4 linked regions of the Nothobranchius furzeri genome follow. The protein of the gene in region 2 purifies or fractionates together with the protein of the main gene of each other region. This does not show direct contact. Links are inferred from orthologs where the notes say so. Each region holds a gene or a part of one and is shown on either strand. Other genes may lie near its edges. The genes, in order: cbx3a, histone-lysine N-methyltransferase SUV39H1, ehmt1b and setdb1b.

The links.
Region 1: the proteins of histone-lysine N-methyltransferase SUV39H1 (region 2) and cbx3a purify together in Homo sapiens (affinity purification with mass spectrometry; 3 studies listed by BioGRID and IntAct, with this or other methods). This does not show direct contact. The link is inferred for Nothobranchius furzeri from reciprocal best matches to the Homo sapiens genes SUV39H1 and CBX3.
Region 3: the proteins of histone-lysine N-methyltransferase SUV39H1 (region 2) and ehmt1b purify together in Homo sapiens (co-immunoprecipitation; 3 studies listed by BioGRID and IntAct, with this or other methods). This does not show direct contact. The link is inferred for Nothobranchius furzeri from reciprocal best matches to the Homo sapiens genes SUV39H1 and EHMT1.
Region 4: the proteins of histone-lysine N-methyltransferase SUV39H1 (region 2) and setdb1b purify together in Homo sapiens (affinity purification with mass spectrometry; 3 studies listed by BioGRID and IntAct, counting the BioPlex papers as one, with this or other methods). This does not show direct contact. The link is inferred for Nothobranchius furzeri from reciprocal best matches to the Homo sapiens genes SUV39H1 and SETDB1.

The regions. Positions count from the first base shown.
Region 1 is NC_091751.1:29,399,498-29,407,450, reverse strand, and holds cbx3a (chromobox protein homolog 3a), read right to left. Parts: upstream 4,386-7,953; 5' UTR 4,237-4,385; intron 4,224-4,236; exon of another isoform or gene 3,906-4,223; intron 3,723-3,905; 5' UTR 3,719-3,722; coding exon 3,576-3,718; intron 3,427-3,575; coding exon 3,270-3,426; intron 3,167-3,269; coding exon 3,072-3,166; intron 2,825-3,071; coding exon 2,698-2,824; 3' UTR 2,337-2,697; downstream 1-2,336. Other genes in the region: nfe2l3 (nuclear factor erythroid 2-related factor 3), read right to left, coding at 6,845-7,590, 7,671-7,953.
Region 2 is NC_091755.1:42,379,500-42,386,985, reverse strand, and holds part of histone-lysine N-methyltransferase SUV39H1, read right to left. Parts: intron 3,845-7,486; coding exon 3,188-3,844; intron 1-3,187. UniProt on the Homo sapiens protein: Histone methyltransferase that specifically trimethylates 'Lys-9' of histone H3 using monomethylated H3 'Lys-9' as substrate. Also weakly methylates histone H1 (in vitro).
Region 3 is NC_091746.1:74,039,231-74,047,494, reverse strand, and holds the start of ehmt1b (histone-lysine N-methyltransferase EHMT1), read right to left. Parts: upstream 4,403-8,264; 5' UTR 4,321-4,402; coding exon 4,300-4,320; intron 4,294-4,299; exon of another isoform or gene 4,016-4,293; coding exon of another isoform or gene 4,013-4,015; intron 1-4,012. UniProt on the Homo sapiens protein: Histone methyltransferase that specifically mono- and dimethylates 'Lys-9' of histone H3 (H3K9me1 and H3K9me2, respectively) in euchromatin.
Region 4 is NC_091745.1:76,217,494-76,225,769, forward strand, and holds the start of setdb1b (histone-lysine N-methyltransferase SETDB1-B), read left to right. Parts: upstream 1-3,308; 5' UTR 3,309-3,409; coding exon 3,410-3,429; intron 3,430-4,265; coding exon 4,266-4,469; intron 4,470-4,542; coding exon 4,543-4,706; intron 4,707-4,787; coding exon 4,788-4,825; intron 4,826-6,190; coding exon 6,191-6,287; intron 6,288-6,363; coding exon 6,364-6,534; intron 6,535-6,639; coding exon 6,640-6,841; intron 6,842-6,918; coding exon 6,919-6,992; intron 6,993-7,094; coding exon 7,095-7,285; intron 7,286-8,276. UniProt on the Homo sapiens protein: Histone methyltransferase that specifically trimethylates 'Lys-9' of histone H3. H3 'Lys-9' trimethylation represents a specific tag for epigenetic transcriptional repression by recruiting HP1 (CBX1, CBX3 and/or CBX5) proteins to methylated histones.

The sequences.
Region 1 (7,953 bases), on a different chromosome or scaffold from region 2:
TGTGGAGTGTGTCGAGCTTGGTGGCAGGAGAATCTCGTCTCTGCTTTTTGCGGATGATGTGGTCCTCCTAGCTTCATCCAGCTCTGACCTTCAGCTCTTGCTGGGTAGGTTCGCGGCTGAGTGTGAAGCGGCTGGGATGAGGATCAGCACCTCCAAATCTGAGACCTGGTTCTCGACCGGGAAAGGGTGGCTTGCCAACTCCGGGTCGGGAGAGGTTCTACCTCAAGTGGAGGAGTTTAAGAATCTCGGGGTCTTATTCACGAGTGAGGGTAGGAGGGATTTGGAGATCAACAGGCGGATTGGTTCGGCGTCTGCAGTGATGCGGACGCTGAGCCGGTTTGTCATGGTGAAGAGGGAGCTGAGCCAGAAAGCCAGTCTCTCGATTTACCGGTTGATCTACGTCCCAGTCCTCATCTATGGTCATGAGCTTTGGGTAATGACCGAAAGAACGAGATCGCGGATACAAGCGGCCGAAATGAGTTTCCTCTGTAGGGTGGCCGGGCTCAGCCTTAGAGATAGGGTGAGGAGCTCGGACATTTGGGAGGGACTCGGAGTAGAACCGCTGCTCCTCCGGATCGAAAGGAGTCAGTTGAGGTGGTTTGGGCATCTGGTCAGGATGCCTCCTGGACGCCTCCCTGGGGAGGTGTTTCGGGCATGTCCTGCCGGCAGGAGGCCCCCGGGTTGACCCAGGACACGTTGGAGAGGTTACATCTCCAATCTGGTCCGGGAACGCCTTGGGGTCCTGCCGGAGGAGCTGGTGGAGGTGGCTGGGGAGAGGACAGTCTGGAACTCCCTAGTTGGGATGCTGTCCCCGCGACCCGGATGAGCGGAGGAAGACGACAATGATGATATATGTATGTATATATATATATATACACACACACACACACACACAACCTCATTAGAATTTAAAATGGTAATTAATAAAGTTGTTTTATGGGAGGATCACAATAATCACTTTTGTGAATCGCCTGCACCAACGGCTTAATTGCTTATTCACAAGGATGCAGTCATGTATTTAATTGAGATATGCGATTGTTTGTTTTGCACTATCCTACATGGTACTACTGTAGATCATTTTTTTAATGTATATATTGTATATCATATTTCTGTTTCACCTGTTCCTTTGTCTCCGACTGCTTTGAGCATGTACATGACACAAGAATTTCCCTCGGGATAAATAAAGTTGTTCTTATCTTATCCTGAGCCAAGCATGAGGGTTTATGTGGAATCTTATAGAGAACACTAGTTAAAAGGGGATCTTTACATCCAGCGTCAGCACAGAAAATATTGATCATTTTAACACAGAAGTTTTTGTTGTTAGTCAAATCAAAGAAACTTTAATTTTCTGATCTCAGCTTGTACAAGACGTCAGCCATTAATGATAAATTCCTGTAAACAACATGCTGCAGCCTGGACCCCAGATACAAACAAGTGAAAGTCATCTTACCTAAGCAAAGTTTATTTCTGTCCAGCCCAGGAGCCCATCTGAACACAAGTGGTGTGATGAGATTTTAAGTAAATCAGCTAATAACTGCTCCTTTACGCTGACGTCTCCTATCTTGTGTTACTTTATCAGTAGGTAAAGGCCAGAGGGGTGAAACTGGATGTTGTTTAGTCAGAAACGTCAATGCAACTTTATCCCCCATTCGTTCAATAAAAACCACCAATATAGACACCTGAATTCAGATTTGAATTACCAATCACCACACGGTTGGACATAAATATGAAGTTTTAGGTTACGTCACCATCCATGAGTCTACTACAGGTGATAAAGCCAAGTCTTCGATCTCTACCTTTTTAGTGTGAGCATCATTAGGTGAGATGCAATGATCAAATGACAGGTAAAACTATGGTTGGACTGATTTTAGTCTCCTTTAAATGTTTCCATTCATCAACACTTCCTGCCAGCTGTTCCAGGCTTTTTTGGAAGTTTAACATCTCCGACAGGCAAATAGCTGTTAACATGTGACCAGTTACTTTTAAAATAAACTCCATAATGTGTCTTTACAAGTGGTTATAGAAGAAACCAACCATTATCCATTACTGAGAACCAGCAGACTGAAGCCTCATTTACACCAAGTGCAGAACAGAATGAGCAGCTGATAGAGCTCCAGACAGGTGTGGACATTCATGGTCCTCCTTGGATAAATATCTCACCACTGTTCCTCTAAGGAGATCAGAATGCTGCTGCCAAAATAACATTCTGATGTAGGCCAAGGATTGATACCCTGACAGAACCACTCAGCTGGCTGTGACACTTTTAATAAAGCAACATTTAGGTTTTCTTTTTTCTGTATGCATTTGTCCTAAACTACAAATGAAGAGGGTAAAACTAGGCCACATAAAACCTTTATTTGAACTTTATATTTACAAACTGTAAACAAAGCGTTCATTTCAAACACGTCGGCACTTGCATCAAGGAACAAAACATTTAACTGAACTCAAAAAGGTTGACATAGACTCAAGTAAAAAAAATAAACAAATTGGAATGTGGACTGACATTATCGCTTTTTGACTAATCTTATATCCAACCCAGTCACCTGCTTTGACAAACTTTTAATCTACAATACCCCAACTGCCATACAAATGATTTTGTCTCAAATCAGCTAAAGTAGCTAAAGAAGAAAAAAAAAAGCAGAACAGAGAACACAATAAAAACCTAAAACATAAAGGTGTGCAGAATCCAGGCAAAGGCTACTGAGCCTCATCCTCTGGACAGGAATGCCACGTCAGCCGCTCCTCATAGAAGGATATGACCACCTGAGGGCAGCGCGTGTTGGCCTCACGAGCAGGGACCAAGTCTGCTTCATCTGACTCTTTCCTGGGGGACAAAAAAATAAATAAAAACTAAAATAAAACAGCAGATCTTAGAAAAGCCTATTTAAAAATCAAAGAAATAAATTATATATATTCAAGTGATTTTATTTCTAAATACTCTACATGTTTGTAATAAACCTTTTCCGCTTTTAGTTCGACTCCCTAAAAAAACACTAATGGCCATGCAAAGCAACCGAGGTAAATGTGAAACTACTCTTGTTGAAATTGGGTGTAAAGTCTGCCTAACTCACCACTTCATCAAGAACATCAGCTCCCCGCTGCTGTCTGTGGCACCAATGATTCGCTCTGGCTCCAGGTTCCTGGCAAAGCCGCGAGGCTTATCAGGCTGTCAAATAAAAACAAAAACAGGTTATAAACCATATTCTGATTGCACAACCTACAGGGAATCATGCTAGCAGGTCAGAGACATAAAAAACGTATAATCTAACCACATCTTTCTTCTTGGGTTCCTCTTCTGCATCATCTGTGGAGGCCTTCCTCTTCACTGCAGCCGGCTTCTCCTTTATATTCTTCTGGGAATCCAGAAAGGCCTGAATGAGCTCGGGGCAGTCCAGGTTATCCTCGGGTTCCCAGGTGTTGTCCGCTCTGAGGGAGCAAAAAAAAAAAAAAAAAAAACAGGTTAGCGTTCAAACCAAAAACATCCCAAACGTGTTAAAAGGGAAAAGCTGGGAGGCTTCATGCAGCCACGGTGCGTTAGAGGCGGAGAGAGCAGGACATTGTCCCGGGTAACTCACTCTGTGAAGCCTTTCCACTTCAGGTAGAACTCTACTTTCCCGTTGACGATCCGCTGGTCCAACACTTTCTCCACAACAAATTCTTCAGGCTCCTCCTGGGTCTCGGTCTCCTTCTTAGGCTTTGTATTCTGTTTCTTGCCCATTTTGCTTTTTAAAGATAAAAAGACGAGCCGCATTTATTCGGAAGGCCTTAAATCCACCCGGATGCTAGGCTACAAATAACTCAGCCAACGCTAACATAGGACATTACTCTAATTTGGCCCACCTGCTAGTTAGCTCAGCATTTAGCAGCTAAACGTAACAAAGGTTGCTAACACGCTGACCCCTTACCTAAAATTTCCTTGATTTTAAACAGTCTCATCTGCGGATTTTATTTGAGCAACAGAATTAGTAGAATTGTAAAAGATAAAATAAAAACTGTGGTAAAACTACAACACATCCCCACAAAACAACACCTTACTTGCCTTACTTTCAGCTAGCTTAACATATTACAGTAATAGCTAAACAATGGCGATGCTAACGCTGCTGGGTCAACAACTAAACTGCTGTTTGTCAAAAAACCAGCAACGTATAGGTGGCGTTTTAACACGCTCAGAGTAGCCTGATGTAATTAAAGAAATACTCAACATTGTTTTAAAAGAGAAGAACTCCGCACACTCACCCAAAGCGCGCGGATTTCTATAGTTGTTCAGCACCACGCCGCTCGGATGAAGTCGATCCCACAACGAAGGCGGCGCCAAAAACTAGTTGTGGCTACGGAAGCCCAGAAGGAAAAGCGATTCGTCTGCAGCCGAGCTGACCCATGTGTTCCAGAAGGGCCCTTTTCATGAACCAAGGCTTCAAGCCGCTAGTTAACGCAATCTGAGACACGTTGGTAGTAAATGAAAACGTTTATATATGTTTTAAACTATAAAGTAGTGGAAGGAATAAAGCATAAACACTAGCAATCATTTTCTTTTTCAGATTGTTCAAAAATGAAAAATTTAACAAATTGACCCCAAAGTCATAATGCTAATGCTGAATTCAGATTAAATTGAGCACCTGATGTCTCAAGTTGTTTAGATTGTTCTCAGACTGAGTGAAACAATTTCTTTTACTTTCTACTGAATACCGTAAATGACTGGCTTGTGATTTTGAACGAGTATTTGTTAAATATGCTTTACAGCCATATTTTAATAAATCTGTCTGCCTTCTGTCCTGAAATGATGCCGGTCAACACAGGTGTTCAGCTCAGGTGAGGAAAATAATGTTGATATGCTCACCAGCACGCAGCACCATAACAGTAATGGTATATATAACCTGTTAGCCAGACAAAACAAGACATTATTTAAATGTTTTTAATAAAGAAATCAAGTATTCTTCAATCAGATTTATCTTTTCAATAATCACCGCAAACAGACAGACAAATGTGACTCATGCATGAAAAAACAAGATGTATGAAAGTGAAATGCACACAAATAAACGTTTAAACCAGGACAAAGAGAAAACATGATCTTTGGATCACAATTAAGTTTATACACTCCCTAGTGCAGGGGAGTCCAATCCTGGTCCTGGAGAGCCAGTAACCAGCAGGTTTTGTGGTTTTTCTGCTTCAAAATGCTTGATTAGCTGGTTGAATCACCTGTGCAGCAGCTCATCAGGCTCTGCAGAAGCCTGTTAATCACCTGCTGATTGAAATCAGGTGTGCTGAAGCAGGTTAAAACGAAAAACGTGCTGGATAACGGCCCTCGAGGACCAGGATTGGACACCCCTGCCCTAGTGTAATCAAACACTCAGCCTGTCATATTGCATTCTCTAATAATCCCAAACATATAAACAGACAACAATCATTCTTGTTTGTGTAGCGAGTGGATAACATATTTTGCATGACAGGGGATTTCTTCTGTTCTAAAGTTATTTTTAGGTGAGGTTGTGCTTTAGTAGATGTGAGGGGATTCATGTCAGATCAGCTGACTTAAGTAAAGCACAAAAGGGTCAGCAGATGAGTAAAGTTTGCCTTTTTGTGCCATTTAGAAGCATCTTTATGGGAAAAGTGAGAAATTATGTTTTCCAGAATGGGTCTTTGTAACATAGATACAACCTTATGTATCATTTTGGGTGTATTTTAGGAGTAAAGAGATTATAAAACAATTATAAACAAGAAAAAAACTGATTAGAATACCTCACACAATCTCACTGAGAAAGAAAATCCATTTTAGATGAAACTGGAGCCAAAAATCACAGAAAGTCATCCCTGTAAACTGGAAATCAAACAAAAGAAGTTGCGTGAGACCGTTTTAGAATTGTTCTATTTAACTCAGCAAACCTTACAGAAGCACGCTGCATATAAAACAACATTCAACAAAGCTGGGACCACCGCTTTGGTTCATTTTTAGCTGAACATCATCAAAAACTGATTTCTGAGCATAGCATGCTGAAACTCGAACTATGAAGGATTTAAGTCAAAACCATCTATTTGTTATTAAAATCTGCATCAATAGTGTCTTAAAGCATTCGTGTGTGGATTATTTTCGAACCAAATACAACGTTACAAAATAAAGCCTCTTCATTGTAATCATTGGTATTTGGCATGTCACCCCTGGCAACTATGAGAAAGACAAATCTTTATTATTTTTTCCAGTTTTAGCCTAAATAAATAACATTACACACAGTTACCTTAAACGCCCCTGTAAACATTAGATTTACTTAAATTTTACTTTTCCATTTTGAAAAAAAAAGAGAAGGAAACAGTCTTCGTCAAAATGAAAACACTTCAAAAACCTTTCAAACCAGAATAAATATAATCTTCAACTTCCTAGTTCTCCTCAAAAGACTTAAAAAGGCAAATTTACACACAAAACCCCTCGGACCCATACCCAGTAAAGGTGATAGTTTTACGTTATCAGGCCCGGCCCAGAGAGGGGCTGGTTCTGCTGCCAGCTTTAATAAACACAAAGTCCAGTGTGCCCACTACTAATGTCTCAATATTTACAGATATTCTATCGAATTATTCATTTGTGTTCAGAGTGTTGTTTTGTTTTTGCAGCTTCTGATAGTGAAGGCTTATGGCAGTGGTGAATAAACACGCACGCACACACACACGCACGCACGCACGCACACACACACACGCACGCACGCACACACACGCACGCACGCACGCACGCACGCACACACACACACACACACACACACACCACCTACAAAAAAAGAACCCCAAACCCAGAGTCAGTCAAGTTCGGGAATATCAAAAAAAGCCTCTAAAAGCTCAAGTCTCAGCAGGAAACGAAACATCACTGCTTCTTCCCTTTTTTCCTCTTGTTTGTTTTGTTGCCTGCTGATGTGGAGACGGCTGGACGTCTGATGGGCTGAACCACAAACCTCCCGTTAGCGCCACACTGCAGGGTAAATCTGTCTGGGCTCAGGGGCTGTCCTGACCCATCCCTGAGCCGAGCCAGAACATCTCTGGTCAACTGCTTTATCTGTTGGCCCACAGCCCCCATGGTCTTAGCTGTAAGCTGTTTCTCTCTCAGCAGTCGTTCCCTCCGAGCCTGCAACATGTCCACCTCCTCCTGAAGACCGGTGATGGCATCTAATTTCCTTTTGCGGCAGTTCTGAGCTGCCAGTTTGTTCTTCCCCCGCCGGCGGATGTCCCTCAGCAGAGTCACCTGCTCAGGGGAGAGTCCGTGGCTGTCCAGAACCTCCATGAACTCCTCCACAGGCATGTTGACAATCTGCAGGACAGAGAACGGGATGCACAGGGCACGGGCTCGCAGCTCATCACGACTCAGATCCCGCTCTTCGTCGTCGCCAAAAGGCTCTGTTTTGTGGGGCAGTTTTAAAGACGCCTTGTTGAGGAAAGCAGGAGACGAGTAGCTGTGATCGTGCCACACGTTCTCACTCAGATCCACAGGCGACCGCATGGTGGCGTGGTTCATTACACCCTTTGGGGGTAACGGATGCACCTCACTGCTGTAGCCTGTAGCTCCACCTTCGTCCTCGCAGTACGAGCTGCTTGATGAAGACATCTCAGATGAGCCTGAAGGAACGAGACGTAAACGACAGCGTTCATCACAAACATTCTGACAACAGGAATATGATGCGGTGGTCTGAGCTAACCTGGAGACACTGGACCTCCATAGCTGCTTTCTAGGGACAGCCCAGAGTCTGAGTCCAAGTCCTCGAGGCCACGAGAGTCCATGCAGCTCAGAGTGTCCATCAGCTGATTGTCGATGGCTTCCAGGCTTTCTAAGCCAAGCTGATTGATCTGATCAAACACGGCCTCATCAAGACAGCTGCCCAGCGAACTCTGGGACATCATAGTTCCAGTTAGATTACACACAGAGGCAAACGGGAGCGCCGCGAGGCCCACAGCCATGCCGGGTGATGCATCTGAGAGCGA
Region 2 (7,486 bases):
GAAGAAGGCATTTCAAGTAGGGCTGCTCGATTATGGCAAAAATGATAATCACAATTATTTTGACTGAAACTGAGATCTTGATAATTTAAGACGATCTTAAAATTAATGTAATTTTATTTATCCGTTTATTTTATTTATTCTGTCATAAAATTGCACAGGGCACAATCAGGACAAAAATAAATAAGAAAAAGAAACAAAATCACCACAAAAACAACTCCGTATTCCTATTGTGTAAAAAGGCCAATTGCTCATAGTTTATGAGGCTGAGATTTCATTTATTCAAGCATGCCCAATACAGATCCAAGCTTGCAGATACTGACAGACGGACATCGGCTGCCACCAAATCCTTCGTTACTGTAACGGCGCATTTTGTTCTCTTGTCGGACAAGAACAGGTGGAAGTTAGTGTGTCACCTTCTTCAAACTCAAGAGATGAGTGAGAGTCAAAGTAGCACAATGTTGACATTTGCCCATCTCACACAACAGGATGTAGGGGGACAAGAGGGAGGGGAGGGAGTATGGGAGGACAAATGAGTATGTGTCACTCTGCTCACTCTGCTCTATTTTGTTGTGTTCGCCTCACTGTACTGAAGCTCCAGGCTGAATATATGTTCAGTTGAATTATGCACTTTTGTTCTGAAAAAATGCAACATTTTACCTTCAAATATAGCAGTTTTTTTCTGTTTCCTATATTCCAGACTGAATAAGGTGAATTTATCTATTTAATCTGTATGGCAGCTTTTTTGTAATGTTATCATGTGCCAGACTCATTAAGTTTCCATTAAATAAATTTGATGGAAGTAAAAATCTTGTTTACTTGAATTAATTACCTCATTAAATCCAGGGCTTGCCTGTTTTCAGTGTTTCCCAACAATGGAGAGGACACTAGTGTAAGTAAAGCTTTCCCTGATTGAAGTTAAGTTGGTCAAAGTGCAAATATTTACACGTCACAAAGTCATAAAATAAGAATTTGTCTTTGAAAAATAGTTAAATGTTAAAAAAATGTATTTATTTACAGAGAGTGGTTTTAGAGGAACTGAATTAATTGATAGGTTATTTATTTACAAATGTAGATAAAGAAGAAGACAATCTTTTATGAAAAAAGCAATAAAAATGTCAATAATTGAAGAATCGTGGCACCAGTAATCGAATCAAACCAAAAATCATTATAATCGAAGAATCGAAGCTCCCATAATCAAAATCGAATCGAAAAGTACCCTGTTTGAAACACCCCTAGTAGTTAACACAGCTACTCCAACATGCAGCCACCCAGAGCAGCGCGAGAATTGGAATGATTGTAGAGAAGAGTTTATTATAGCCTCATAAAATCAACCATAATGATTAAAATAATAATTATATTTAAGAAAATAGAACTGTTGTATCAGAATAAAATTGGTATCAGCAGATATCTAAATTCAGGTATCGGAATTGGATAGAAGGTGAAAAAATATGGATCGTGCCCCTACCTATCTCTTGCATACAGTGAACAAAAATATAAACGCAACACTTTTGTTTTTGTTCCCAATTTTTCACGAGCTGAGCTCAAACATCTGAAAATTTGTCTTCATACACAAAATACCCACGACTCTCAAATACTGTTCTGAAATCTGTCTACATGTGTTAGTGAGCAGCTTTTCTTTACCAAGACATAACAACTGCACTAGATGGAATTTAGCATCTTATTTTATGAAGGTGTTTCCATACTTCATTGTTAACCCTGACCAGTTGTCAACAGGTAAACCTTTTTGTCTTTTTATAGAAACTCTAAGCGGCAATTATGCAAATATAATTAAAGGTGTGGAAAACTATTTTTAAAGATGATTTCTGAATATAATCTGTCATTCATTTCATGCAGGCTGAACATGAAAACGGTCTCCTACACTTATCTCCTGCATTAGCTTCTGATAGAAAATAGATGGTGAATCTCTGGGATTAGAAAATCCTTACAGATCTACGTCACACTGTCACTTAACATTCATGGACTCATCCATCTCGATTCATGACGGGGAAGGCTGTTAGTTTAGTGGCCAGGAAACCGCAGAGAACATCTCTGCTAGTAGAAGCTAACCGTTAGCATTAGCAACTCCACCACACAGCAGAACTCTTCCAGGCTTGTGTTATTTGTGGAGATAAAATATCAATGTGCAAGTCAGTGGTAGTCGTGTTGCTGTTAACCAGTAGGGATGTATATTGGTGAAAATATGGCGATACGATACGTATCACGATACAGGGGAGACAATACACTATATCATGATATATTGCTATACATTCAGTCAGACGTTAGTGATTTTTTAAGACTGAATTTATTTTAGGAAAATTCAATACAGGCCTAACTGATACTTAACATGTTTAACATGAAGTACCTGAACCATAATAGAGGGATTTACATTTTAATGATGCAAACAAAGCCCAATGCACACTGCTGCCAATTAGCAGTTGGCATATGAATTGCATCAAAAGAAAAGAAATTGCAGAAATGTTTGCATGTAAATTCTTCCAAAAATTTGACATACGGCTTTTGAATATCAATATATTATTGCAGAAAAAAATTCATGATATAACGCCACATCGATAGTTTCTTACATCCGTATTATCCAGTCCGATGTGAGGTGTCCAAATATCAGGAAATAAGACTCCAAATCGTGTTGTCTGAAACTTAGCTGGGATGTGGCTCACTTCAAAATCTTGAAAATGGTGCACTAGTGTGTTTTTTTCTTTCAAAGTACTATCTATAAGTTATTCATTCCTATTAAAGATCATTGCAAATGTATTGATTAAACAAGTGTTCAGCACTTTTAAACAAATTTTCTAACTTTTAAACTGTAATTTAAAAATTACAGACATCACTTTGATTTTACAAATTAATTTTTCTAAGCAGAATCTCTGAAAAGGAGCAATAGATAGATTTATGGGCTGTAATCATGCAATTTATTAAAACTTTATAGGGTATGTGTTTGTGATTTATATACGTTAATACAAATGTGAAATCAATTCATGTAAAATAGTCGTGGTAATTGTGAAACCACGATTATTTCTCGGACTATAACCGTACCACCAAAGTTTACAACTGTTGCAACCCTACTTACAAGGCATTTATTCCTACTATAGAGACTACTGCAAAATAATTGATTAAATGAGTGTTCAGCACTTTAACATTTTATTTTTGACAAGATTGGTTTAGATCTTACCTCTCCCACGTACTCCATGACAAATGTGTTCTTCTTGATGTGCTGCAGTGTGCGGACACCCCAACCACGGCCGTTGTCCGTCTTAAAGATGCATAAGTCAAACTGAATCCCCTTTTGCACCACTCTGTTGGGACAGTCTTGCCCACAGTTGCACTGGGTATTACATTCATATATGGGCTTTCCCGGCTGGATTCGGACCTGACCCTTGTCATTGTAGGCCATGCGATGCAAGGAGGCTCCAGGGCAGCAGCCATTCACCGGCTCTTCGAAACAATTCTTACATTCACAACCCACAGCCATCTCATCCAACACAATGCCTGGGCCAACTTTGTAGTTGTTAATGTAAGTAAAGGTTTTAGGAGGACCTTCTAAATCCACTTCATTTTTGACAAAAATACGGCCTGGGTGGTTGCGAATCTGATTCAAATGGGCTTCCCATCTCTGCAGTCTCTGGCGTAGTTTGGCTTTCTGAACCAGGAACAATGAAACCTCCTTATCCAACTTTTTGGGAAGGCCGCGTCTCTTTTGCCGTTTTAGCATCTGATCTAGGTCCAGGTGGAACACTTTCATCAGTTCCGGACATTTGAGGTTCCTCTTGGGTTCCCAGCTATTATCGGATTCAGGAAAGCCTTTCCACTTCACCAAATAGAGCTCCTCCTGAAAAGACAACACCTTTAGTTTGTAAAAACAATTAGATTTCAATTTACAGAATTCAGATTCTTGTGCAGCTCTGACATACAAGATAAGATGATAAAAGAAGTCAAGTGTTAAACTACACTGGTCAAATCATTGGCATGCATCAAGCAGAGAAAACATCAATGAAAATAGCAGAAAAAACTAAAATTGCATTAAGGACTGTTCAACACATTAAAAACTGAAAGTGGGGACTCATCGTCTTCAAGGAAGAAATGTGGCCAAAATAATACTGAATGAATGTGATTGGCAATCAGTTGCCTAGGTCAAATAATTTGAAAGAAATACAACAGTAGAACTCAGGGCTATGTTTAATAGTGAAAGTAAGAGCATTTTCACATGCACAATATGAAGGGAACTTAGGAGATTGGGACTAAATAGCTGTGTAGCTGTAAGAAAACCACTAATCAATGAAGCAAATTGGGGGAGAAAACTTTAGATTGATTTGGAGCATAAAGATTGGACTCTGGAGCAATGGAAGAAGGTCGTGTAGTCTGATGAGCCCAGATGTACCCTGTTCCAGAGGATCAAAAGAAGGGCATATGAAGCGATGCACCCATCATGCCTACTGTACAAGCCTGTGGGGGCAGTGCTATGATTTGGTGTTGCTGCAGTTGGTCAGGTCTAGGTGCAGCAACAGGATGTGCTCAAAGAAGCGGACTACCTAAATATTAGAGCTGTAGCGAAGCGTCGATGACATTTATGACTCAATTCTAAAAATGTGTCGACGTCAGATCCGGTAGTCGACGCACCGCGCCCACTTGTTGCATCCCCAGGAGTTTGTAAATGGAGGAGGAATCTGCCAGTTTTTCCTCTAGCTCGCCCTCGTCTCTGCCTTTAACATCTCCGCCAAATACCGAAGACCCGGAACAACGTCCGTCCGCTACTAGATTCCTTTCCTGTTTTGCCCGCCTTCGTCTCCCGGCAACGGACAACTTCCGGGGTCAGATGTGCTGCTCCGTCTCTAAAGCAGATGTAGAAAATCACCGGGAGCGTTTCTCCCTTCATTAAGGAGCTTCTTTCAGACATGAGGAGAGCTGTTTTGGTGGTAGCAGTCTCTCCTCCGTGCTGGTCTGTTTGCTGCTGGGTGTTTCTGGTTTATTTAAACTTGGTAACTTGAACTTAACGTTGGTAAAGCTACTGTTAGCATTTTCACCAACAGCTTCTTGCGTTTGGATAAGCTGTTACGTTTTGGTTTAGAGTTCATCTTTTTTGTGGTGCAGATCTCCCTTTTATTACATTTAGAGTGTTGTTCGTTTTAAGTTTAGTGTAAAATATCACCGTGAGTTTGGTTTAACCGCCCAGTTTAGAGTTTGGACCTTTGGAGATCCTTATTTTGGTCCAGAACCCAATAATCTTTGCCCAGTGGGACATCCCTACTTATTTGTACTTTGTTTTAATGCTCCACGGGCAGAATTTGTTTTATTATTCCCAAATTGTGGATGGAAAGATTTATGTTTTTTGTAGTTGTAAATAAACCTGATCATCATTTTAACTTTTAAATCCCGTTATTGTCCCTTCCTTTTGCACACGAGCCAAACTCTCCAGGAAGAGTCGTAACACCACTCGCCTCACGCTCATAAGTGACCAAAACAAAGCAGCATGGAGACACTCCATCTTCTACCACCTCTCAGGCAGCAGCCTGCACTCCCAAGTTCTACACGTCACCAGAACATAACCAACTGCAACACAATAAAAGAAGTGTTGTACAAAATGGAAGGCCTGTAGTTTTTATTCTCTTACAGTAACAATTTATTAATTTTTTTGAGGAATTTCTTTGAGATTTTCTGGTTTTTGTTAATTGTGCAATAGAAAAATAATCATTAGATTAATCGTCTAAATAGTCATTAGAATAGTCGACTATTCGATAAAATAATCGTCAGAATAATCGTTTTAAAAATAATCCTAACTAAATATACCTGAATATGAATGAGCAGGTTATTCCATCAATAGACTTTTTTCTAATTGGTACAGGCAAATTCATAGATGACAATGACAGGATTCATTAAGCTCAAATAGTGAAAGAGTGTTTTGGGGAGCATGATACATAATTTTCATACATGGACTGGCCACCAGAGTCCAGCCCTTAACCCCACTGAGAATATTTAGTACGTGCTGGAGAAGGCGTTGTGCAGTGGTCAGACTCTACCGTCATCAATGCAAAATCTTGGTGAAACTTTAAATCAAATCAAATTTATTCATGAAGCGCTTTTCACACAGATGCAGCTCAAAGCGCTTTACAATATTAAAAACAGACAGCAGTCGGTTTTCCACTTCTCCCAGATTCACATACGAGATCCCCTTTGTATCCCCCTCCTCCCACCCTCAATCCCATCCCAAGCATATGCTAACTCACGCACACACACGAAAGAGAGGACTGCTGGCCCTTAACACAACACTGGATGGAAATAAATATTGTGACATTGCAGAAGCTTATTGAAACAATGCCACAGCAAATGTGTGATGTAATCAAAGTTAAAGGTTAGGGATGTTTATAGTTAACCAGTTATTTGCCATTGATGTTGTAACCAGGTAAAATAGTTTTTTTTCTTTCAGTCATGGATATATTTTGTGCCACCAGAGGGTGCAAGAGTGCCACTGTCAAAACCACAGAGGAAGAGCTAGCTCATCACATGATAACAAAATGTACTTATAAATGAAGCGGTTAGGAAAATCCACTGCATTGGAGCATTTTAGACTTGATAGTTAACAAAATGAGTTTAACAAAGTGCTGAGCATGGATAAACGGAAATAAAGCTGTGCAATAAAATGAAACGAGACCAGCAACAGGTTAAGCTTGGTTTATGCTTGACGCGTTCACTTTCCGCGCGGTGATGCGGCTCGCGGATGGAACGCGCTTCACAACTCACAGCGTTTATGGTTCATGCGGCTTGTCTCTGCGGTGAGCCAATATTCTCCCAAACTATAGGGGGCAGCATGGAGCTCTACAGCATGCATCCAACACTACACCATAGTAGAAGTAGAAATTACTGTTTACAACATGGCATATCAGCATTTTTAACAGCGTCCTCGTCTTTTCCGACAGTGCGAGTTTTTTCTCACAAAGATTGTCAAGAAAGCGTGTTTGTCGTGTTCATGTCAAATTAAACTGATCACAAAACACAGATTTACTTTCTTTATTTCGTTTTCCTCATCCAACCCCCATAAATCCCTGTGTGTCCTCCTGCAGCACTCCAGAAGGACAACAGGCAAAACAAGACAAAAAAGTCTGACGTGTTGTGTAAAAACTGCTATTTTTAGCATGTTTTTGGGTCCGACGTGTTGCTACCAGACGTACAGTGTGAGCAGTCATGTCGCATCCGAGAACTGGGTCGTACAGTGTGAGTGCATGACTCGTGAGATCTGCCCTGCGAGGAAGTCATACAGTTTGAGCTGAAGCTGAGCACTACGAGTGAAAAAGTCGCACAGTGTTCGCCCGGCTTAAGTTTAAAAAATTCTATTATAATGTGTACCTAGCAGAGGGTGAGTGTTGATCAGGTGGGGCAATTTGGTGCCACTAGTGTACTATGTAGTAAGGGTCAACCGCTTTATCGGTAGGCCGATACCGATCAGCCTCTTTAGTAGAGCCGACTTAAAGACAGGCTC
Region 3 (8,264 bases), on a different chromosome or scaffold from region 2:
TTTGCAAATTAAATTTGACCTAAATCTGTGTTTTTTATTATGCTGTTACATTGATTTTGCTGTTCTAGCTCCTGGAAAGCACATTGAATTGCCTCCATGTATGAAATGTGCTATACAAATAAAGCTGCCTTGAATAATTCAGACCTCAATTTCAATCAAAATAATGATGATCACCACTTCTGCCATAATCAAACGGCCCTAATATATTTTGTTATGTATTGTATTTAGGGTAATATGATAAATCTTTAATATTTGGCAGTCCAAAAAATGACCATGGCTGATGTATTTGCACAGGAGATATTTAGACGGTTTGTGGGCTTGACACACTACACGCAGCACTCCACCAGTCACAATCTTTCCTACTCAGGTAGCGGAAACACGGCACAAGGGTTCCATGTGACACGTTGTTTTTAGACTTTTACTGTTTTTGATCCAACTGTTAACTGGGTTGCAGTTTGTTCACGTTACACAACAATAATAAAAAATAAACTATTCTTTTATAGGACGCCTCTCATAATAAAAATCAGAAGGCGCTTCACAAGAACAAAATAAAAATTTTAAAAATTATTTTAAAAGTATAAAAAAAATGGAAGGATTCTATCCCTCTGTCACAACACCACTGGATCAGAGACGTTATGCAAAACGTTAAACCGGAAAAAAAATCAGATGTACCTTCAATGGCTCCATCGACAAGTTCCACGAAACATGGGACCCTTTAAGAGCTCGTGTTGATGACCTACCTGACCTGGACCTTTGACAACTCTCAACTGCCTCATGCCAGTCTTGTAACTAGTAATGTTGTGTGCCCTTTTTTATTCCTCCCTTTCTTAATTAATCTGAATTGTTTGGTCTGTCTTTGTTAATGTAAATATGTTTTTTTTTTTCAGTTTTGAAGGATGACAAGTCTTCATAACCAAAGTTGGTACCGTTAGTTTTATTGTGTGTGCGTTTTATCTCTGAGCTGGCTGATGGGTTAACATAGCAGCTAACTATGCTAGCCTCTTCAGGCTGTGCCAATATAATTCAATAATCTACAGAAAAATAAATCAATGAGCTGCCAGTTTTACCGCTGTGTAAATACTGATCCAACGCTGGAAATAATTAATCGATAGCTTACCAAAATAACTTCTCCTGACTGGCTGATGCTACATCCCGCTTGTTAGATCCTCCCGTTAATTTTGGCAATAATCCAGAAAGGCACGGACGTTCTACCGGTCTCAGGAGGATCTACTGTGGGAATATGTGGATCATCTTTTCGATCCGACTTCTGAGTGTCGTAGCTTTCTCAAATGTCCTATTTTTTAATTACTGGCACTAACACTGTCGGCCGTGCAGGAATCCAGAAGGACCAGTGGTGGTTCCAGATGAATTGATAGTTGCAATATGTAGATTATTATTTTAGATTAAACCCCTGAGCGAATAGCCGTGACCAGCTTCTGTAGTCTGTGCATCAATAATGGTCAGATCTGAAGAAAGCTAGTGTTTCTACATTCCTCCTCACAAACTGATTTAGGAATTTAATTTTGCTACGTTAGTTAAAAATGCATGTAGGACTCCGACTTATGGCTCGGACTTTTTGCTGCAGCTGGAAACCTTAATAATTGAGAGCACAAAGTTGAACTAAATACGGCTAATCGCTCAGTGTTGGCAGCATCAGCTGCCCTGTAAGACATGTTTGAGAGAGCAGGATAGGTCTAATGGGTATAAGGGGAGGTGGCATCCACGTAAAACACTTAAATATGGGTGAATGGTGGCGCAGTTGGTAGCACAGTTGCAGGTTCAAAAACTGGCTGCAGACTTTCTGAATGGCATTGGCATGTACTCCCCAGGGCCCTCATTTATCAAACGTATGTAGAACTGTCCTTTAACTTTTCCTAAGAAAAACATTTAGAATGTGTGTACAAACCTGACTAGGCGGTGGCCTCTCGTACGAATGTTCCTTCGCAACCGGCTGATGATAAATCCCACCTCTTGTTCACAGTAATTTACATACAGAAACGCCCTCAATTAACCATATTTGGTCACTCTACAGCCTCAGCACGTGAGGGAATTTGTTTTATTCCCAGAAAAATAAGAAAAACTTTATTGGCAGCAAGATCAAGACACTGGTTGCCAAAGCGCAGAAGAACCAAATAAGTTGCAGAGGTTATAAATGCGGTCAGGACAGAGAAGAGGTTCCTATCAGAAATAAATAAATTAATTAATTTGAGCTGGGCAATAAAATCGAAAATATATCGTTATCAAAATGTCTGACTTTATAGAGATAATTTTTCCCATGTCAAAAAATTTGATAATAAATGAAAAGATGTGTGTAGGTTGGCAACATTCATGTTGGATTGTTGGCATAAGACTTGTGGTCTTAATATTTTGCGAGTATTTTACTGGACCCCTGTTTAGATTTAACAAGACCATTCTTGACGTGGGATAGCTCTGATATAGGGCTGTGCAATAAATCGAAAATTCATCTTTATCAAAATGTCTGACTTTTATCGAGAATTTTTCCCATGTCAATAAATTTGATAATAAAAATGAAAAGATGTGTAGGTTGGCAACATTCATGTCCCTTTAAGAAGCTCTACCACCTTGAGTCACGTAAAAATGTGACTTAACGTAATACACGTGACAGCCCCATCATCTAGCCTGGCCTGCCAGACTCCTCCTCTGTTCAATTCTGCATAGAGAAAGGGTCTGGGAACTCTCCTATTCAAATAACCCCAACCCGTGCCAATTCTAACCGAGCCAATCAGCGCTGAGCGGCGTAAGTCACACACCACAACGACACGTTTGTCATAAACATGGCAACTGAAGCAAAATGAGGGCCCAGGCATGAATGGATTTTCTCCAGGTACTCCAGTTATCTCCCACTGGCCAGAAATATGCATTTTATGCATGCAAGCTGCATATTAGTGAAATTCTGACCCCAAAAAACAACATGTTGATCTACATCAACAGCCTGCTGGATAGCTAAAATTTCCCCTTTTATAGAAATGCAACACGGAGCCACACAAAACCACTCAGAGGGATGCAGTTTGAACATGCCTGCCCAGAGATTCCTGCTTGATTTGTGACTAATATTCTCCAGTTTCATTTTTGCCATGTTGAGTCCAATTCTTGGGGACAAGAAGGGCCATCGAAAACTCACTACACCTTTCAAGTGGCCCTCCATTGTAGTAAAACATTATCTGCACACAGAGATGATACTGTACTAATGTCTGGTGTGTCACTGTTTCCATTCAGGGATGAAACGTGTTTAAATGACAACACGTTGACCCAAAATGAAAGATGCTGGAGCTGCAAAGCTCCGTGAGTCACTTCTAACGCTGCTGGAGCGACCTCTGCTGAACACTTCACATCTTCACCTACATTATTTAATTTTGTGGTTAAAAATAATATAAAAATGTAGTCAACTACGGAGCATCAGTGTGCCCTCGTGTAGAAATAGGGTCAGTTAAACGATATTTGATGACAGATCTTTCCTTTTCCATCTAATCCAGAACCTGAACCAGCCTACACTAGAGTTGCTAACTCTGGACAAAAATAATAATAGGACAATAACCGCATTTAGCCCAAACACGCGAGCGTGTGGCGAGGACGACTGAAGAGAAGTTTAACGTAAAGAAGTAGAGAATAACAACCGGTTTCAGAACTGGCGCCTTCATTAGTCGGTTAGCAGGCAGACTGCAGAGCAGCACACACAAGATAACACCGCAAACGCGCGTTTGACCCACTGTAACACAAATTTAACAATAACTCGATTTGCTAGAATTCAACTGGATAAAAAGAAAATCCCTCCACCGTGTGTGTGTTTAAAACGTATGCATTCTGCTAACTACTGCTAGCATAGCCGCTACCTAGCTGAACAACGTTCACATTTTGCCTCCAGTTAGCCGCTAACAACCGGGTCAGCTGAAAACTCAGAATAATGCTGGGAGGGAATGCAACCTTTAATTTCTGCAACACGTTTCGAGCAGCTAAAGCTGGACACAGCTAGGAGAATGACATAAAGATGTACCATGAATGAAAGAGTCCCACAGAGAAGCAACCAACGCACAAGCACCGAACATTCAGGTTCCGGGGCGCAGCATCTTCCTGCACATTCAGTTGTCCTCCGGTACAGCACAAAAGCACAAGTCTCGGCGCTGGCAGCGGCCACTCGGCGCCTGAAAAGCACCTCGACACCGACAATTTACCCGCTTACAGACCGGCCCCGTGGCTGCGCGAGCCTAACGAATGTACCGAAGCGCCGAAAAGCGTGTGAGACGGGAAGAAGCTTGGCGAAGATAAAGCTCTCATACTCACCTCGGTCTCCACCGAAGCCATGGTGCCTGGACGTTGGCTCCGCCCACTCCCGGTTGCGTCACTTTTATTGATCCGCAATCTGGAACACCACACCTTAGAGATTTTATTTGTTATAAATGAGCATCTTTATTGATCATGGTTGTGGTGACAACCTTTTAAGATAGCTAACCCAACTATTTCTGTAAATACGGAAAAAGATTAGGGCCAGTGAAAAGAAAAAAAGAGAAAGAGGATTCTGTCTTTTTTTCTCAGAATTCTAACTTTAAAAATCCTTAGGAAAAAGGTCACAATTTTTAAAGTGAAATTTTTAGTAAGAGTTCTCATTCTTTTCTTTTTCTTTTTTCTTTTCTTTTTAGTGGCCGGGGTAAAAATCGGGTGTAAAAATCCACGGGAAAAAGGTCTAAATAGTCATTGAATTTCTGTCCTTCAAATAAAATTTCATGTATTTATTGACACGTTATTCCTCAAAAATAATAAATTGAGTTGGGTCGATTCTCACTACTCACTACTCTGCTTAAAAAGCTGAACAGGTTTTCTAAAATGTCTTCATGTAGTGAATTACCTGTTGATTTGTGTTGATTATACCCTATTCCAAATAACCATTTTTCTATACATTTTTGTTTACATGAATGTAAGAATTTGCAGGTTAAAAAATTGTTAAAAATCAAATATCAGTAAGCCCTTCCTTTTTAATTATGATGGTTGTCCTTTTTTATGCTTATCTAATGCTGATCATCCACATTCAGGCAAGAAGAAGAGTGACATGTGCACGTGATGTTGCTTTAATGTTATTATACTCTTATGATGTAAAACTGTTGTGTGTTGTATACTGAAGTTGTGCTCATGGGGTGTGGTGCTCAAGGATTGTAAATGTGTACATTAAGTTCAGGATAGGTAAAATAAGCTGTGCTACATTCCCATTTTGAACTGACTCAGTTTACGGAGTTACTTTGAGACAAATTAAAAGTCTTACATATCAATGCAATTTTTGTTTATTTTTATATTTTTACTATTTTTTTTACTTTAGTATGTTTGTTGCTTTAATTTTTTTCTCTGCACCTTTGTGAGTTCGATGTATGATTTAATTTTGCTCAAAATGACTAAAATTATATATAATAAATGTTGATCATTAGATGAAGAACAAGTGCAATAGAACGTATGTGTGAGAGGAGCACATTGTTTTAAAAAATGCATTTTCTACAGCGAGCAGTCGTTGTGTCCTTAGGCAAGGTACATACCCGCCTTGCCGGCTGGTGGTGGTCGGAGGCGCAGGTGGCGCCTGTGGACGGCAGCCTAGCAGTGTGCCCCAGGACAGCTGTGGCTACAACGTAGCTCACCACCACCACCAGTGATGAGGTGTATGGTGCCTGGTGTTTGGGCGTATGTTGAAGAAGAAGAAGATGAAACAATCTTTTACATAACACCTCTCAAGATAAAAATCACAGGGGCTTCACAAGAACAAAATAAAAATATTAAGAATAACAAGATTGAAAAATGATTTTTAAATATCATAAAACTGGGAGAAGTTTAAAAAATTGTGATTAGAAAAAAATGTGAAGAAAGGGAAAGTGAATAAGGAATAAATTATGCTCGGCAACAACTGACCGAAACCCAAGACCAGCTGACAGCAGCTCGGACAGAGATTTCAAAACTGTTAGATGACAAGAGTCAGCTGGAAGAGAAAATTACCATCAGGGGCCATTTTAGCCCTTCAGTTTGATTATATCTTTACGTAGTGCAGTGTGTTCTCCCATACGCAGTATAGGGTTCTATTAATTTTATTCTTTTTCGCACCACTTTTTGCATTACATGTAGAGAGTTTGCACCCATTTCGTTGCTTAGGTTCATTCACATAATTCCTACACATATTACTTGCAGGTACTCATAGTGCTAGGTTTATTTTTGTTTGTTAATTTGCATGAGACGCCATTTTGTTGTGTCTACATTGAAGTGCCCTGTGCTGTGCTCTCTCTCCTCTGCTGAGTTTGTCGATGATCCTGCTTCCTGGGGGTGGACCCGTGACTCGTCATCCGAATCTACTCCTCCTGATTGGTGCTCCGGCTCGTGGGACCTGGACATCCGTTTGTTCCGGCATGACTGCGGGGATACTTCGCTCGCTGGGACGACCTGCCTGCTGCTCTTTCCTGTGCTGGATTACGATAAGTGCAATTACAAAGATCAATATGCTGTTTGGAAGTATTCCAGACCCGTGGAGATATAAAGTTTGCTGCTGCTTCAAATTATTGCTTCCACGGAAATTTCTGATAATCTACTGACTTGTGTGCTTCCCGAGGAGTATGCGAGACTGTTCTTCGGTGTGGGGTTCGTACCTCACCGCTGTTGGCCTCTTCCTGTGGGATTGCACCCTGCTCTGTTGTCGGAGTCCTTCATGACTCTGGTTTGTTCAATGACCAGGTGGTCTCTGAATGGACCACCGTGCCCTTGAAAAGGGGGGTATGTAACGTGATGAAGGAGCTATTCCTCCAAGGTTATTTATCCTCTATCTACTGTTCCCTTTGACACAGCGCCAGAGTGCATGAAACAGCCTCAAGGTCATGCATATTGCTTCTAAACTGTTTACTTTCCAGCAATGAAGACAGAAGATGAAGAGACTCTTTTCTTTTATTAAATCAAAGAACTCTATTTTCAATAAAGCTAATCAAAACAACTGTTAGTCAATAATACAATGTGACCGATCTGTGAAATCACAATATTATGATTAATATGTTTTAATAAGTAAAATGACTTAATCTAGTTCACTAGACACACTGACACACGTAAGGAAAACAATCACATGACACATTGCTGTTGCTGATCCAATCAGAACCTTCCTAGTCTGAAGTGTGGCAGAGTCTCTGTGGTGTTTATAAATCTGCTGGCTTTGATTCGTCCAGAATCAAAAACATCCAGATTAATAAAACAGTTCCAACGCCATCTTAAGTCCAGTTCTCAAGATCCCACGGAGTTCACCGCAGCTAAGTGTCGGACCGGCCATTCTGTACTTCTCTTTTTAAGCTGAGAACCGTCAAGCTGGGAAAAATTTGTTGTTTTTACAACCAAGCAACGGTGCCTTTCAGAATAAAAGCTGAACTCGCTGACCCAAGGAGGGTCCCCCTTTTGACGCTGTGAACCACCTGTCACTTTTTACCGGGGGACAATCCACGGACTAGTTTGTCATGCTGTGACGCTGTGCCATCGGCTCCAGTACCGGAAGGAAGGTCCGTGGACCTGGCATTCTGGATCCGTACAGGAGGTCTCCCTGAGGGTATGTGTGGATGCGACAAAATGGCGTCTCATGTGTTTATGACTACCAGTCTCAGACTCTGATAAGTTAGGAGCAAACATCATCTCCCACTCAGACTTTGTTTCTCCGGGTACGAGGGTTCTGAATGACACTCGTTCACACACACCATCCATCTCACACCTCATTCAAACAGAACATCCACCATTAGAGAGTTAGTCTTGTTTAAATTGTTTAAAATTATTTAGTTACAAACTATCTTAAACATTTGAAGGTCTCTCTCTCTTCTCTTGTCTCTCAGTTAATACAAGGTGTCATCTAAATCCCTGCATTAAAAAGATCCAATCTTCTGATTAAATAAACCAGTGGTCCGCAAGATGGATTTCATACTAGATATGAAATTTTAATGTCTTGTGGTCCTTTATTAAATGTAAATTAAGAATGTTACACACCTCTCAAGATAAAAATCACAGGGGCTTCACAAGAACAAAATAAAAAATATTAAAAATAACAAGATTGAAAAATGATTTTTAAACATCACACAACTGGGAGAAGTAAAAAAAATGTGATTAAAAAAATGTGAAGAAAGGGAAAGTGAATAAGAAATAGATCATGAGTGGAACGCTAGGAAAGGCAGAATAGGTAGGATCAGAATAAGGAGAGAGTGGTGAAGGTCACACCAAAGCATGAACAGGTTAGCCTGGCAAGCCAGACTAAATAAATG
Region 4 (8,276 bases), on a different chromosome or scaffold from region 2:
AGGCCTTCGCTGCCGGCGTTTCTCACCATTTTTACTGTGTATTTTTTTAAGAGTCAGAATGTTGCACGCTAGGATGATGTCGACGCCCAAACTACCAAAACAAAGAGTAGACTTACATCGGAAGAATACGTGCATTTCGAGCGTTATCCGTTCTTTCATAATCCGTTGTTGAATTGTGATCGGCAGAAGCTTTTCTGGTTTGCGCCTCACTTTTTTTACAGCAGCGGCCCAAAACGATCTAACACATGGTTTTTCTGCTTCCTGATCACGTGACGTATGCGGATGAAGATCGGCTTCAGAGCTGAGATGTTTGTTCTCTCGGGGCGGGGCTCGATCCAACGCCCACTCAGTAAAAACATGCAAATGACGACTTTAGTCGTCATTGGCAGTGCACGGTTGGATCTAAAATCACGACTTTAGTCGTCAATGGCAGTGAATGAGTTGAGGGTTAAAAACGTAATAATGTCAAGAATTGTAGCTAAAATCAAATAAATCACTTCTGGGACAAGGAATCGAACCACGGTCAGGACATGGTAAAGCAGTAAAAGGTAAGATGCTTTCTTCATTAGACCTACAAACACAATGACTGCCTGAGACACTGTCTTGTGGTCATGACGTGCATCTTGTTGGCCATTACACGTGTCCTTGTGGACTGAACCAAGGAAGAACCTCTGACTATACTTCCTGAAACTCCAGGAAGTGACAAAAACCTGCCGATTTCCCCTCATCCACTGGGGTTGGGTACGAAACAGAGCAAACTCTCATTGTTAGAAATGCTAAATTCACAATAGAAATAAACATGTTTACAGCTTGGCACAAAAACAATTTTAGGTTTAGTAGGTGAAGTTATCAGTCAAATCAGTCTCTTTCTAGTCTCTGGACAGAACGCATGTTTTGTATGGGTGAAGTTTTGTCACCTTTGGCCTTCCATATATATACGCACCGCTAAAGCCTCCAGTGTGGATGTGAGACATGCACAGCGCTCACGTCACAAAGTGCTCATCCGTTTGAGCTACACATCGCGTCGCTACTGTACACAGAAGCTACAGCGCCACAGGTTGAGTTTTAAATTGACCTTATATGAGCGACAGGCGGGAACTGCGGCCCTCATGTGCTAAAAGCTTAAACTAAACTGGTTCTGTTACCATTTAGAGGACGTTTTACCGTCCTTATCCTCTCTTTCTGCAGTCTCAGTGAAGCTGGAAAAAAAATCTAAATATTTTTTGTCCTCTCGTGAATAATAATGAAGGACTGGGTTATCGTGCTTCCACCTTGTTGACCAAAACAATCCAGGAAATGTTTGCGTCTTGGTAAGCCGTACTGGAGGACAAAACAAATTAGGATTTTTTTTTCCAGTTTAGAGATGAAGAGGGTAACATATCCTCCAAATGGTTTGACAATTCTGGCTTTTGTCCACAGGAGGGCGTATATTCCCCCTTCTCGCTCATGTGTAACACAGCAACAGCCTGATCTCTATGTACTATGGTGCGGTATGGGGGCCAAAATCCGTGTCGAGTCTACGCATTTCAGGATTCTTCTGAGTTTGGAAAACTCCAAATCTCGCGAGAATCCATCTTGCAGCGAAAATCAGCTCATAATTTTGGACATTTGGAGTTGTGATGTGAGAGCCTGCGAAGCATAGGCCTTTCTAGACTGCTTTTGGGGATGCTGAAGCACTCCTAAAATTAAATCCCAGCACGGCAGCACCCCTAAAGTTTGAGATTTATTTTTGCACTTTTACTGTTTGGTCCTTTTCAATAGAAACTCCGCTAACTACTTCCAAACGTGTATTGTTGCCTCTAAAAAACTGGGAATTTGCGTCTTCCTTTGGCTAAATATAGAACAACACTGTTTTCATACATAATGAAGGGAATATGGTGAGTTGCTGCCCTCCAGTGTCTGAAAGCTGTTACTGCACTTGTATTCTTTTTAGCCTTTTAGAAGATAATGTTTTGGCCTCCTTATCTTAACGGGGCATTTAAAAAATCTTAATCTTTTTTCTCTCCTCTTGGGAATATTAATATTAAAGGGGGGGGGGGGGGTAGACGGAGTAGAAGGAACTGAATTTATAAAGTCAAAAAAGTTCCTTAGAAATATTTACTTCAACGATTCCAAAAACCGTGTTCTGTTGCCTTGAAAGAACTGGGAATTGGCGACCTCTCCTGGCAAAAAATAGAACACTTTTGTCCAACAGCATTTAGAATAGAAGGAAAGATGGGGAGGGGCTGCACAGGGTGAGTGCGCGTGTGTGTGCAAGATTGCTTGTCCTGTGTGTCTCTGTGTTGCCCTCGGTTGCCCTGCGATGGACTGGCTCTCTGTCCAGGGTGCACCCCCCGATTGCCCATTGACCGCTGGAGACAGCACCCCCCCCCCCCCCACACACACACACACACACACGCGCGCGCGGACAAGCGGGTTCAGAAAATGGATGTACGTGAAGATGGGGAGTTGCTGCCCTCCAGTGTATGAAAGCTGTAACTGCGCTTGTGTTCTTTGCCTTTTAGAAGAGAATATTTTAGCCTCCTTGGTTTGATGGAGCCTTAAAAAAACTTAATCCTTTTTTTTGTTCTCTTGGAAATTGTAGTATTGAAGAAGAGACCGAGGAGTAGAAGGAGAATAAGGAACTGGATTTCTAAAGTTGAAAGAGTTCCTTAATTGAAACACTTCCTCTGAAGTTCTTTTTGGTTCCTTGCAAGAACGGGAACTTTGCGCCCTCTGCTGGCAAATAAACATAGCTCCCTTGTTTTAAATTAAATAAATGGAACCTTAAAAAGGCCAGATAATATAAAATTAAGATATTTAGGTACTAAATTTTACCAGAACAAATGTGTGGTTTGTAATAAAACATGCCAGATATAAAACTATTAGTTATTAGTTCAAATAAATACCCAACTACAGCTAATTAACTCACACAGACGTAGATAGACACTGATTTATAAAAAAGGTCCATATTTTGTTTCAAACAGAATGAAAACTACTGTATTAGGATTTCACAATTAATGCATAAAATATTCAAAGAAAATAAAAAGAAATGCAATTAGTTACAGAACAAAAGAGTAAATGTTTGACCACAATAGCTGATTTAATTTGATAAACTTGTTTATTCGGTAAAATGAAAAAGTAAATCAAACAATTTGCAATATGTTATACTTGTATAACTTTTAAACTGCCCCACGTAAAACTATTCACATTCCTAAACATTAAAAAAAATCTGAAAACCAAACGAACTCGTCATTGTTTGGCTCGGTTCAATTATTAAGTCACAATAACATCCTGCGTGGGCGGGACTTTTTTTCCAATGCTGCGATCTACTACACCGCCCTTTTCGGACACCCCGGGAATCGAAACATCTTTTGTAGCTTACCCTTTAGCATTAGCGGAATAAGCTAGTTTTACATCTGCGTCCGAGATGATGGAGATCAGCGAGCGGTGGGTGGCTTTCCCGTTAATTAGAACATGTTTCATAGGTTACGAATGTTTTTGATGCAATTCTCTATTGTGCAATGAACATATTTGTTTCAGCAGCCTGCACCTCTCATTCAAATCAGAATTGTTCTTTTCCCATGCTAAGCTAACCGGTTAGCATGCGTCTCAACAAGGGTTTGTTGTTGCTGCACAAATCTAACGTGTAAAACGAAGACATTAGGGCTTTACATCACTCTCCGACAACAAATGAGCAACATTTTTATTATTTACTCAAGTTCAGCTCATAAGTTCATCTTTTTTGCAACAACTAAGTGGGAAAGTTGTGTTTACTCCTGATGTCCCTAGTGATCTACTATCTTATACATGTGTATTATTCAGATAAACTGGTATGCATCTGGAATTTCTTTTATGGATTCACTGCATCTTTAAAAAATCAGATTAACTTGAGTGTATTTTATCCTGTTTTTACCATAAAGGATGATGACCCGTATGCTAGACACGTCTATAACAGTAATGCGTTGTTATTTAGGGAGTGTGACTATTAGGTATTATTAATGTCTTTCACACAGAGTGAGGTTTAAAACTTGATCAAAATCACAAAAATGCTAATATATATATATATATATATATATATATATATATATATATATATATATATATAAAGAATATAACTCTTTTCGTTAAACTTAATTAATCACTACCAAGCTGTAAATAAATGTTATCATGCTTCATTCTGGCCATCTGTGGGAGTTTAAGCTGATGGTTGTAAAGCAGACGGTTGAGTTTGTTTTTAAAAATGTAGCGCTGTTTAAATGTGTTTCTCTGCATTCCCTCCTCAGAATGGAGGTGGACGGCTGGGACTCGAGTCTGGAGGACGATTTGGGTGTTTCCTTGGATGATCTGAAGAAGCTGGTTGAAGAAGCTGTGGAACAGAGTGAGATGGTGCAGAAGAAAAAAGCTCAGTTGAAAGAACTGAAGCAGTGGGTGGAACAGAAAGAGGAAGAGGAGGCAAAGACGGAGATGCTTCTCAAAGACACAAACCAGTGAGGTGGAATGGTTGTCTGTTTTATTAGTGCTTATCTATAACGAGCTCATCTTCTTGTCTCCTTTTTTTAGATCTTTAAAGAGGTGTGAGAAACTGGTAAAGGAGGCTTATCAGCTGAACGGTCTTGTCTACCGAGAGAGCAGCTCTGAGGATGAAGGGGGTGGAGATGGACTGTGCTCTGAAGTCATTGAGATAGATGATGATGACGATGACGATGTCATTGCAGTTGGATGTTGTAAGTTGTGCTGTTTTGTAAAAAGATATGAAAACACTGAGACTGTTGTTCATCTCTTTTTCTTCTGTTCTGCACCATCAGTGGTTCCTCCAACGAAATCTCCAGGCAAAGACTCAGTGGTGAGAGCAACAAAAACAGTGTTTCTGAAAATATATTCATATCTAATTACTATGTAATTACTACAGTGTTGTTTTTGTTAATGAGCATCAGGGACAAAAAGTGCTGTTGACACATAACAGGCAGCTTTAAAGGTGTGGAGAACTGAGAAATATTGTTTAACTCATTCGCTGCCAGCGTTTCTCACCGTTTTTACTGTTTTTTTTTAAGAGTGACAGAACGTTGCATGCTAGGATGATGTCGACGCCGAAACAACCAAAACAAAATGGAGACTCACCTTTTACATCAGGAAGAATCCGCGCGTTTCGAGCGTTATCCGTTCTTTCATAATCCGTTGTTGAAGTGTGATCGGCAGAAGCTTTTCCGGTTCGCGCCTCACTTTTTTTTACAGCAACGGCCCAAAACGATCTCCTAACACATGACGTTCTGCTTCCTGATCACGTGACCTGTGACGTACGCGGATGAAGATCGGCTGTTTGTTCTCACCGTGCGGGGGCTCGTCCGACACCCACACAGTAACAAAATGCAAATGACGACTTTAGTCCTCAATGGCAGTGAATGAGTTAATGATTATAATGGGTCATAGAAGAGCACGCTGGCATCGTCCAGAGGACATCAGGTGCTCCGACAGCCCATGGGACATCAAATGTAAAGGATAAAGTATACTTTATCCTCTAGGTTATAATGGGTCACTCAGAGTTCTTCATGCCGTCCGAACATGAAAACAGTCTCCTACACTTATCTCCTGCTTTAGTCTCTGATAGAAAATAGAAAATCCTGACAGATCTACGTCACACTGTCACTGAACATTCATGGACTCACCCATCTTGGCTCACAACGGGGAAGGCTGTTGTTGGTTTAGCGTCCAGGTAACAGCAGAGAACGTCTCGGCTAGTAGAAGCTAACTGTTAGCGTTAGATACTCCACCACACAGCAGGACTCCTCCAGGCTTGTGTTATTTGTGGAGATAAAACATCAACTATGCAGGGCAGAGTCAGCGGTAGAGCTGTGTTGCTGTTATCCAATCAGAGGAGAGATGTCTGAATATCAGGAAATAAGACTTCCAATCCTGTCGTCTGAAGCAACTCCAGATGACTCGTACTTCCTGGAACAGGTGCATCAGAGCTTTTTTTTCTCCAGAGTACAACTTAAAGGCATTAATTTCTACTAGAGACCACTGCAAATGTATTGATTCAACAAGTGAACCACAATCCTCGGTGAAAAATATTAAATGGGAAATCATTTCTTTAAATTCAGCCAAAACATAGTTATTTTTTTAGGTTACATAAAGAAAAAAAGGCCTGTATTTGATGTAAAACTCGTAATTCTCCTCAACAACCTCTTCTGTCGCCTGTTTTTATCACCAGTTAAAAGAAGCTTCTGCAGTTCTCCAGAAAACCTCCCAGCAGGTGCAGAAGTTGACCCAAATGGTGGGCAAACCTTCACCAGGAGCTCCTCAGTCACGTGAGCAAATATAAGAGTCTGTTTATTAATCGGACTCGTGTGAAGCGTTATTGATGCTCTTTGGTGGGAATTTCAGTCATCCAGGTTTCAGCACCGACAATATTTGTATCGCAAGCTTCGTCTCAAGGGACGACCCCGCCGAGCTCGAGCTTGAAAAAATTTGATCTCCGGATCGGGATGAACATCCTGGGAAAGAAACGCACCAAGACATGGCACAAAGGAACCCTCGTGGCTATCAACCCTATTGGTTCGTCGTCGTCTTCGTGTGTTTTACAAATGCTTTTTTTAAAGATGACGCTAAGGAATCAGTGTTTTTTCTTTTAAATCACACATTTTCTCCTTTAACGTTCAGGAAACGGTGTTTATAAATACAAAGTGAGGTTTGATAAAGGCAAGAGTTTGCTGTCCGGGAATCACGTGGCTTTTGACGACAACCCGGCTATGGAGGACCTGTTTGTCGGGGCTCGTGTCGTCGCCAGGTACAAAGACGGAAGCCTGACGTGGCTCTACGCGGGAATCGTGGCAGAGATGCCCAACAACAAAAACCGCATGAGGTAAGTCAATGAAAGCCTGCAGGTTTGGCAGCTTTCTGAAGGCCTGAGCTCATTAATGACCCGCTTTGCCGTTTCAGGTATTTGATTTTCTTCGACGACGGCTATGCTTCATATGTGATACTGCCTGAAGTCTACCCAGTGTGCAAACCGCGTAGGAGCCCATTTTTCTCCTTTCTTTCTTTTTTCATGGTTTCCAAAGGTGCAGCAACGTGTAGAGAAAATATTAATCAAGATAACTGATATTGTTTTATAGTGAAGCGTACTTGGGAAGACATAGAGGACGCGTCGTGTCGAGACTTCATCGAGGAGTACATTTCTGCCTACCCCAGCAGGCCGATGGTGCTCCTAAAGGTCGGCCAGATCATCAAGACCGAGTGGGAGGGGACTTGGTGGAAGAGCAAAGTGGAGGAAGTGGACGGCAGCTTGGTCAAAATTCTCTTTTTGGTACGTGAACAACAAATTTAAACCGGCTACATAAAATAATACAAAATGTTTGTTTAAAAGTCATTTTTTTTAGGTCAAAATTTTAATTACTATTGTAGTTTCACTCTAAAACATTCAAACCTGTGGAATAAAGCGCTGCACGTTTACCTGAGATACTACTGAGTACATACAGTCGGTATGGAAAGTATTCAATTCAATTCAAAGGTACTCCTGTTAATATTTGACTCTTTGTTATAATGCAGCCGTTTGCTGAAATAAAATAAATTAATTGTTTCCTCATTAATGTACACACAGCACCCCATATTGGCAGATTTATTAAAAAAGACAAGCTGAAATATCACATGGTCCTACGTATTCAGACCCTTTGCTGTGACACTCGTATATTTAACTGCTTCCATTTCTTCTGATCATCCTTGAGATGGTCCTACACCTTCATTGGAGTCCAGCTGTGTTTGATTCTACTGATTGGACCTGATTAGGAACTCCACACACCTGTCTCTAAAAGACCTCACAGCTCACAATGCGTGTCAGAGCCAATGAGAATCGTGAAGTCAGAGGAACTGCCTGAAGAGCTCAGAGACAGAATTGTGGCAAGGCACAGATCTGCCCATGGTTCCAAAAACATCTCTGCTGCACTTAAAGGCTCTAAGAGCACAGTGACCTCCTTAATCCTTAAACGAAGACTTTTGGGATGACCAGAACCCTCCCTAGAGCAGGCCGTCCAGCCAAACCGAGCTACTGGGGGAGAAGAGGTGACGCAGAACCTAAAGATCACTGTGGCTGAGATCCAGAGATGCAGACAGGAGATGGAGAAGGTTGTAGAAAGTCTACCATCACTGCAGCCCTCCACCAGTCAAGGCTTTATGGCAGAGTGGCTCGTCAGGAGCCTCTCCGCTGCGCAAGACACGTTTGCTGAAAGACATCCAAAGGACCTCGGGAATCAGAATCAGAAAAGCTTTATTGCCAGTGCTCCAGCGACCCGAAGCATAGG